Linked DNA regions of Macaca mulatta. Each later gene encodes a partner of the first gene's protein in a complex. Links are inferred from orthologs where the notes say so. Each region holds a gene or a part of one and is shown in the gene's direction. Other genes may lie near its edges. The genes, in order: TNPO3 and CIRBP.

Region 1 (3,805 bases):
TTCTCCCTTTCTGTCACACTCAAGAAAACAGGTGAATAAAAGTGACATGAAGCTGAATCAGTTATGTTCAGGAGTTACAGATGATTTTGAATCTCAAACATTCAATGCAGTGATTTCAGAAGTTTCAGAAAAATACTTTAAAAAAGACTTCTGGCCAGGCACGGTGACTCACGCCTGTCAGCACCTTGGGAGGCCGAGGCAGGCAGATCATAAGGTCAGCAGTTTGAGGCCAGCCTGACCAACATGGTGAAACCCCGTCTCTACTAAAAATACAAAAATTAGCTGTATTTTTTGTATTTGATGGCACGGGCCTGTAATCCAGCTACTCAGGAGGCTGAGGCAGGAGAATCACTTGAACCCAGGAGGTGGAGGTTGCAGTGAGCCAAGATCGCGCCACTGTACTCCAGCCTGGGCGATGGAGCAAGACTCCATCTCAAAATAAATAAATAAATGAATAAAAAAGACTTCTGGCTGGGCATAGTGGTTCATACCTCTAATGAGGTTCATACCTCTTTAACACTTTTGGCGGCTGAGGTGGGAGGATTGCTTGAGCCCAGGAGTTCGAGACCAGCCTGGGCAACATTGGAAGACCTTGTCTCTACAGAAAATTTCAAAAATTAGCTGGGTGTGCTGGCGCACACCTCTCATCCCAGCTACTCAGGAGGCTGAATGGGAGGATCGCTTGAGCCCAGGAGTTCGAGGCTGCCATGAGCCATGATTACACCACTGCACTCCAGCCTAGATGGCAGAGCAAGACCCTGTCTCTGCAGAAAAATTTTTAAAATTAGCCAGACATGGTGGCAAGTGCCTGTAGTCCTCCTAGCTACTCAGGAGGCTGTGTGGAAGAATCGCTTGAGCCCAGAAGTTCAAGGCTGCAGTGAGCTATGATTGTGCCCCACTGCACTCCAGCCTAGGTGACCCTGTCTCTAAAGAAAAAATATATATCTTTTGAGACAGGGTCTCACTCTGTTGCCCAGGCTGTAATGCTGTGGTGCGATCACAGCTCACTGTAGCCTCAGCCTCCTGGGCCCAGGTGATCCTCCAACCTCAGCCTCCTGAGTAGCTGAGAATACAGGCATGCGCCACCTACATGCCTGGCTAATTTTTGTATTTTTTTGTAGAGATGGTGTTTTGCACCTGGCTGAAATTTGTTTTAAGTAAAATAAAATTGGAAGCGGTGGCTCATGCCTGTAGTCCCAGCACTTTGGGAGACCTAGGTGGGAGGATTACTTGAGGGCAGGAATTCAAAACCATCCTGGGCAAGATGGCGAGACCCTGTTTCTACTAAAAAAAAAAAAAAAAAAAAAATTAGCTGAGCTTGGTGGTGTGTACCTGTAGTCCCAGCTACTTGGGAGGCTGAGGCAAGAGGATCGCTTGAGCCCAGGAGTTAGAGGCAGCAGTGAGATGTGCTTGTGCCACTGCACTCTAGCTGGGGCAACAGAATGAAACTCTGTCTCTAAAAAATAAATAAAAATAAAGACTTCCATGTCTGTTATCGTTTTCTCTAAATTCAAAATTCAGTGTACTTTTGGAGGCATTACCTCAGGACTAAATGGAATGTAAAGCCAGTCATTCTAAATGGAGATTTGGGCCTAACATGGGAAGACAATTTGGGGAGATAAATAGTAAATCTGCTAGAGAAAAGGTGACTTCTTAACTGACTCCACTCATATTATTTAAAAATATATCTTTCTTCCTATATGGTCATGGTGATAATAAAATGTCTTCTTATTCTATTCCTTTCCCATTCAAATAAATCATCTCTGTTAACCTAACAGGTAGTAGAAATTTCATTTAACTTTTGGTACCGACTCGGGGAGCATTTGTACAAAACTAATGATGAAGTTATTCATGGCATCTTCAAAGCTTACATTCAGAGGCTGCTTCATGCCTTGGCTCGACACTGCCAGCTGGAACCAGACCATGTAAGTTCCCTTCTCTACCTCTTCAAATCTTAATTTCTTCCTCTTGTCAGTGCCAACTTGAAAAGGAACTGAGAAGATAGATAATAAACCTGGCTGGGTACCCTGGCTCATGTCTGTAGTCCCAGCACTTTGGGAGGCCAAGGTGGATGGATTGCTAGAGGCCAGGAGTTCAAGACCAGCCCGGGCAACATAGAGAGACCCCTGTCTCTACAAAAAGAAATAAAAAAAAAATTAGCTGGGCCTAGTGGCACACGCCTGTAGTCCTAGCTACTCAGGAGGCTGAGGTGGGAGGATTGGCAGGTTTTGTCACTCTACAGCTTATACTGAAGAAGTCAGTACCAGTATAATCTGTTAGGCCTGTTTAGGAAAAAACAAAAACAAACAAACAAAAAACACTCCAGCTAAACCAGTAATTCTTTTCCTAGGAATTTATCTTAAATCTGCAGAAGAAAAAACAGCTATTTTATATACAAAATGTTATCTATAAAAGTAAAAATTATAAACCCATATACAGCAGTATAATAAGAGTTATATGAACTATATAAGAAGAGTTATGATTTAGCAACTTGATGGAGCAATTAAAAGGTAGTGAAATGATGGTATGGTAAGAGAAAAATCAGAATGTAAAATTTTGTACTCTTTTTTTTTTGAGAGGGAGTCTTGCTCTGTCGCCCAGGCTGGAGTACAGTGGCGCCATCTCGGCTCACTGCAAACTCTACCTCCCAGGTTCACGCCATTCTCCTGTCTCAGCCTCTTGAGTAGCTGGGACTATAGGTGCCCGCCACCACGCCCGGCTAATTTTTTGTATATTTAGTAGAGACGGAGTTTCACCATGTTAGCCAGGGTGGTCTCAATCTCCTGACCTTGTGATCCACCCACCATGGCCTCCCAAAGTGCTGGGATTACAGGCGTGAGCCACCACGCCCAACCAAAATTTTGACTCTTATTAATAGTAGAAAGTAAGTGGTTAGATGAAAACTAATACAAAAGTGAAATATTTGTGTGTATGATTTTGCCCCACGAACATACACATTTTAAAAATCTTATTTATACTCATTTTATAGTTTAAAAGAATATAGAAATCTATTTGTTTAGAAAAAAATACTAGAAATATTATTAGTTTATTAGAAAACTCTTCAAACATCATGCTTAATCTCTTCAAATTTTGCCACATTTATTTCATCCTGTTGGTTGGTTGAATCCGTCCTTTAATTTAGGACCTGCAGTAAGTTTTATTGCTTACAATTAAATCCCACGTGCTATTCTCTTAATTTTAATGTTAGTATTTTGTTTGAGTCATGGTATTTTGTATCTCCACACAACCTTAGTCATGATCTAGTCTAGTGGTTTTCAGACTGCACCCACCACTCGGAGGCCGAGGTGGGTGGATCACTTGAGGTCAGGAGTTTGAGACCAGCCTGGCCAACATGGCAAAACCCTTTCTCTACTAAAAATAGAAAAATTAGCCGGGCATGGTGCCGGGTGCCTGTAATCCCAGCTACACAGGAGACTGAGGCAGGAGAATCACTTGATCCCAGGAGGTGGAGGTTGCAGTGAGCCAAGATTGTGCTACTGCACTCCAGCCTGGGCAATAGAGCCAGACTCAGTCTCAAAAAAAATAAAATAAAGTGACGACTCCTGTCTTCAGCTACATTTTATTTGGAAGCCTGATTTATAAAGCAGGGCCCCTTTTGTTTAAATGGCTTTGTGCTTAATCCCTTTTTTGCCTTCGCTGAATCTGTGGCACCATTTCCCTTGTGGGTAATTTCTTACATTTGTAAGTGTATAGTGCTTTATAATTTGTATAGTGCTTTATAATGTTAGCCATTATCTCATCTGAGATAGCCATCATATTTCCTCCTCATTTCTTGACCTTAATT
Region 2 (4,353 bases), on another chromosome or scaffold:
GTCCCAGAGACCTTGTCACTGGAGACAGCGCCCTTGGCTACCCCCACTTCGATCCACTTGAGGGTGGGAGTGAGTCTGAGGCCAGGAGTGGGACCGGGATTTCCCTGAGGTGAGCCGCAAAACGGGGGTCTCTGTACCCCAACTCCCCCCAGCTTGTGAGCAGAGGGTCAGCCCTCCTGAGACTTTCTGGGGCAGAGAGGCAGGGGTCCACGCTGGTTTCTTCCACCAGGGCCGGGGGAGGGGGCAGCATGAGATGAGGCCTGGGTGAGGAGCAAGTGGTGGCCATAGAGGGCTCCCCAGAGGCTTTGGGGCCAACGAAGAGTAGGGAGTGAGGGTCCTTGCATAGCTGGTTCTCCAGATGGCGGAGGCTTTGAGACTTCCCTCTGTCAGCCAGGCTCAGTAGGGGAGGTCTGTGGAAGGAGAGAAAAGGCCTGGGTAGAGGAGCAGAGTGGGCCCGGCCCGGCGTGGGGAGCGAGTGCGCATTGGGTGTGCAGCACGGTGGGAGGGGAGGCCGAGGGCCGGGCTGAGTGCTGGGGTGCAGTGGGGACTCGGGGTGTTCGCCTGCACCCGACAGCAGGGACGCACAACACTATCTGGCCAGGCGAGTGTGGGGGTGTGGGCGATGCACCCAGCCGTGAAGTCGCGGTTCCAGTGGGAGTTAGGCTTAGGTGCGGGTTGGAGTTTGTAGGCAAACTGGATTGCGTAAAGTTGGGGTGCACCAAAGTGTGGCGAAGTAGGAACAACTGGGATTGCGAATGTTGGGGTTCGCATGAATGGGGTTGTCTTTGTTGGGGTTTGGGTGGGCATGGGGTTGATGGCAGGAATGGAGTGCTGGGGTGCTGGGAAAACTGGGACGTCGGTTGTAGTGGCAAGAATATCACGACAGGTATCGGGGTTCAGATGAAGTTGGGATGTCTGACAGCCGGGGCTTGGTTGGGTAGGGGATCTGGGCTAGGTTATGTCGGGACTGCTGGAGCACAGGCAAAGTCGGGGTCCTAGTGACACCCAGAGGTCCCCATGAGGCCGGAGGCCTCGGAACCGGGGCTAGAGGCCCATTTGTTGCCCGCCGCGGGCCAGGGAGAGGGCACGCGGAACTGGGTCAGCCCCGCCCCGCCGCGCGCTGGCCACGCCCCCCCGAGCGCGGGCAGGGGACTGCGGACTGGAAACGTCCCGGCCAATCGTCTAGCCCGACACCAGCGCGTGGGAGGAGGCGGAGCCGAGATAGACCCGGCCCCCAGCTCATGAATATGAGACGCAGGAGCGGCCTCTGATTGGTCCGGGAGGTGCAGGGGGCGGGGCCCGGCGGCGGTGTATATAATGCCGGGCGCCGGGGCGCCCCCCCTCACTCGCGCGTTAGGAGGCTCGGGTCGTTGTGGTGTGCTGTCTTCCCGCTTGCGTCAGGGACCTACCCGACTCAGTGGTGAGGGCCCTGGCGGCACCGGCTCCGAGGAACTCGGGGCGGCGGGCGGCCTGCGGCGGCCAGGCGAGGCGGGGCCGCAGCGGCACGCCCCTGGGAGGGGGCGGTGCCGGGGCGGGCCCGGGGTGGAGTCCGCCCCGCCGGCGGCGAGGGGCAGCGGGAGATTGGGCCGAGTAGCGGCCAGAGGGCCTCTCCCCGCCGGCCCGGGCCGCCAGCGACCGGCTTGCCGCCGCAAAATGGCGGCCGCCAGCTCGAGGCTGTGCCCAGCGAAATGGCGGGAGCACCGAGTGCCCGGATGGAGTGGCGCAGGGCGCGCACGGGGCGCATGCGCACGCGGCGGGGGCGGGGCCACGTGGCGCGCCCGGTCTCCAGGGCCGGTTTCCCTGCCATGGGGCTGGAGGTATCCATAAACCAAAGCTTTTGTTTTCTGAGCCTCATTTTTCTCCTTTTCCCATTGTGATTGCATGAGGGAAAGGACGGCCTCGCAAATCCTGGGTAGGCATGGCCCGTTCCAGTGTGATTCCTCGTCTGCCACGTCGTGCTTTGCGCCCAAACTTTGGTCCAAGTTGGCACAGCCCCCAGTGCCAGACTTCCAAGTCTAGTTATCAGCGCCACTGGGTGGTGGCCATTCCCAGCCAATGAATGCTTTGTCTGTGTCAGCACTGACTGCGCCCTTAAATAGCCAGTTCTCCTGAATGCCATTTCTCCTGTCTGGAAATCCTGCCTCATCATTTCCGGGGCCATCGCTTCCCGATTCCCGGCAGAGGTCCTGTCTGTAAAAGTTAGTGCCTGCCCCGAGGTGCCCCCCAGCACGGGGCGGCCTCCCTGACAGCCAGCCCCCCCCCAGTCTCGGGGAATTTTACAGTGAACAGAAGCACGTTCTGGTCCAGCAACAAGTAGAAGTCAACTGGTTAGGGTTGGAGTTGGCACCAGTTCGTAAAGGGGAGAGAAGCTGAGGGTGCAGTCCTGCCCACGGCACGACTGGAAGATTCGGGGCTAGAGGGGGAGACACCGGAGGCCCTGTCCCATGGGGAGGACCGTGGACATGGGTGCGGCCTGCTTTTAGTCTGGGGGGTGGAGGGAGCTGAGAAGCGGACTGTATTCAGTGTGGTAAATCAGTTTGAATTAAGTCTTAGGTAGCTGAGTGCGGTGGGTTATACCTGTAATCCCAAAACTCTGGGTGGCCAAGGTGGGAGGATTGCTTGAGCCCAGGAGTGAGTTTTTTTTTTTTTTTTTTTTTTTTTTTTGAGACAAGAGTTCCATCCAGTCTTGTTGCTCAGGCTGGAGTGCAATGGCGTGATCCCGGCTTACCGCAACCTCCGCCTCCCGGATTCAAGTGATTCTCCTGCCTCAGCCTCCCGAGTAGCTGGGATTACAGGCATGCACCACCGTGTCTGGCTTACTTTGTGTTTTTAGTGGAGATGGGGTTTCTTCATGTTGGTCAGGCTGGTCTCGAACTCCCGACCTCAGGTGATCGGCCCGTCTCGGCCTCCCAAAGTGCTGGGATTACAGGTGTGAGCCACTGCACCCAGCCGAGCCCAGGAGTTTCAGACCAGCCTGGGCAACAGAGCGAGACCCCATCTCTACTAAAACAAATTAAAAAGAAAAAATTAGCCAGGCGTGGTGGTGCACATCTATAGTCCCAGTTTCTTGGGAGACTGAGGTAGGAGAATTGCTTAGACTAGGAGGTGGAGGCTGCAGTGACCCATGATTGCACCACTGCACTCCAGCCTGGGTGACAGCTTAAGTCCTAGGTACGAGTTTCCGACAATGAAAAACAATAACCTGATTTTCTAATATTTCCCCTAAAAAACACATGTCATTTACATAAAATAGGAAGCGGGGAGAGGTGGTGAGAGATGACCCCTGTTGAGGATTTCATTGGTGTCTGCCACAGGCCGCCATGGCATCAGACGAAGGCAAGCTTTTTGTTGGAGGGCTGAGTTTTGACACCAATGAGCAGTCACTGGAGCAGGTCTTCTCAAAATACGGACAGATCTCTGAAGGTGAGGCTGGTGCTGGGCCGGCGGCCCGGGTGGGGCTGGCTTGTGCTCCTCCTGACTGTAGGTACAGCTGGGTGCTGACTGCAGACCTCTCTCCCCTGCACAGTGGTGGTTGTGAAAGACAGGGAGACCCAGAGATCTCGGGGATTTGGGTTTGTCACCTTTGAGAACATTGACGACGCCAAGGATGCCATGATGGCCATGAACGGGAAGGTGAGGATCAGGGTGTTGAGCGGGAGCCCCATCCTGAGGATGGGGCACCCACCCACTAACCTGTGCCATCCGCTGGTCTCCAGTCTGTAGATGGGCGACAGATCCGAGTAGACCAGGCAGGCAAGTCGTCAGACAACCGATCCCGTGGGTACCGTGGTGGCTCTGCCGGGGGCCGGGGCTTCTTCCGTGGGGGCCGAGGACGGGGCCGTGGGTTCTCTAGAGGTGAGTGCCGTGAGTTGGCCCTTTGGGGATGCTGTGAGGCACTGCTGGTGGGAGCTGGTACTCACTTCTTCCTGTATGCAGGAGGAGGGGACCGAGGCTATGGGGGGAACCGGTTCGAGTCCAGGAGTGGGGGCTACGGTGGCTCCAGAGACTACTATAGCAGGTGAGGGGTGAAGACCAACCCGGGCACAGGGGTGATGGTGGGATGGCCAGCTTCAGTCCCAGGTCCCTGGGGGAGCTGAGATGAGGCTGGCTGGCCAAGGAGCAGAGGCGGGAGGGGGCCCAGGCCAAGAGGAGAAGAAACTGCTGAAGACAGTGGCAGAAGCGGGAAGGCCAGGGGGGCATGGCTGGTGCAGGTTTTGGACGATTTCTGAGACTCTACCCTGCTGGGGTCCTTGCGTCCCCAGAAGGGACAGCTGGCATGGGGGCTGACGGCTCAGCCTGCTGTGGCAGAGCAAAAGTAGACTGGTATCCTCCGGTACTCATGTCTGTCTATCC

What was found.
Region 2: the proteins of TNPO3 (region 1) and CIRBP are in contact, whole or in part, in a crystal structure (PDB 8CMK), measured with the Homo sapiens proteins. The link is inferred for Macaca mulatta from reciprocal best matches to the Homo sapiens genes TNPO3 and CIRBP. Residues at the interface, in NP_036602.1 of Homo sapiens: Arg620, Glu660, Arg661, Cys663, Arg664, Arg667, Phe668, Arg671, Ser698, Cys699, Tyr702, Ser705, Ile706, Asp709, Glu710, Asp747, Asp750, Asp751, Arg754, Arg758; in NP_001271.1 of Homo sapiens: Tyr160, Arg161, Ser163, Tyr164, Asp165, Ser166, Tyr167, Ala168.

Annotation. Positions count from the first base shown.
Region 1 is NC_133408.1:168,632,794-168,636,598, reverse strand, and holds part of TNPO3 (transportin-3), read left to right. Parts: intron 1-1,778; coding exon 1,779-1,925; intron 1,926-3,503; exon of another isoform or gene 3,504-3,805. UniProt on the Homo sapiens protein: Importin, which transports target proteins into the nucleus. Specifically mediates the nuclear import of splicing factor serine/arginine (SR) proteins, such as RBM4, SFRS1 and SFRS2, by recognizing phosphorylated SR domains.
Region 2 is NC_133424.1:1,940,214-1,944,566, forward strand, and holds the start of CIRBP (cold-inducible RNA-binding protein), read left to right. Parts: upstream 1-1,360; 5' UTR 1,361-1,420; intron 1,421-3,314; 5' UTR 3,315-3,320; coding exon 3,321-3,423; intron 3,424-3,526; coding exon 3,527-3,633; intron 3,634-3,716; coding exon 3,717-3,855; intron 3,856-3,936; coding exon 3,937-4,018; intron 4,019-4,353. UniProt on the Homo sapiens protein: Cold-inducible mRNA binding protein that plays a protective role in the genotoxic stress response by stabilizing transcripts of genes involved in cell survival. Acts as a translational activator.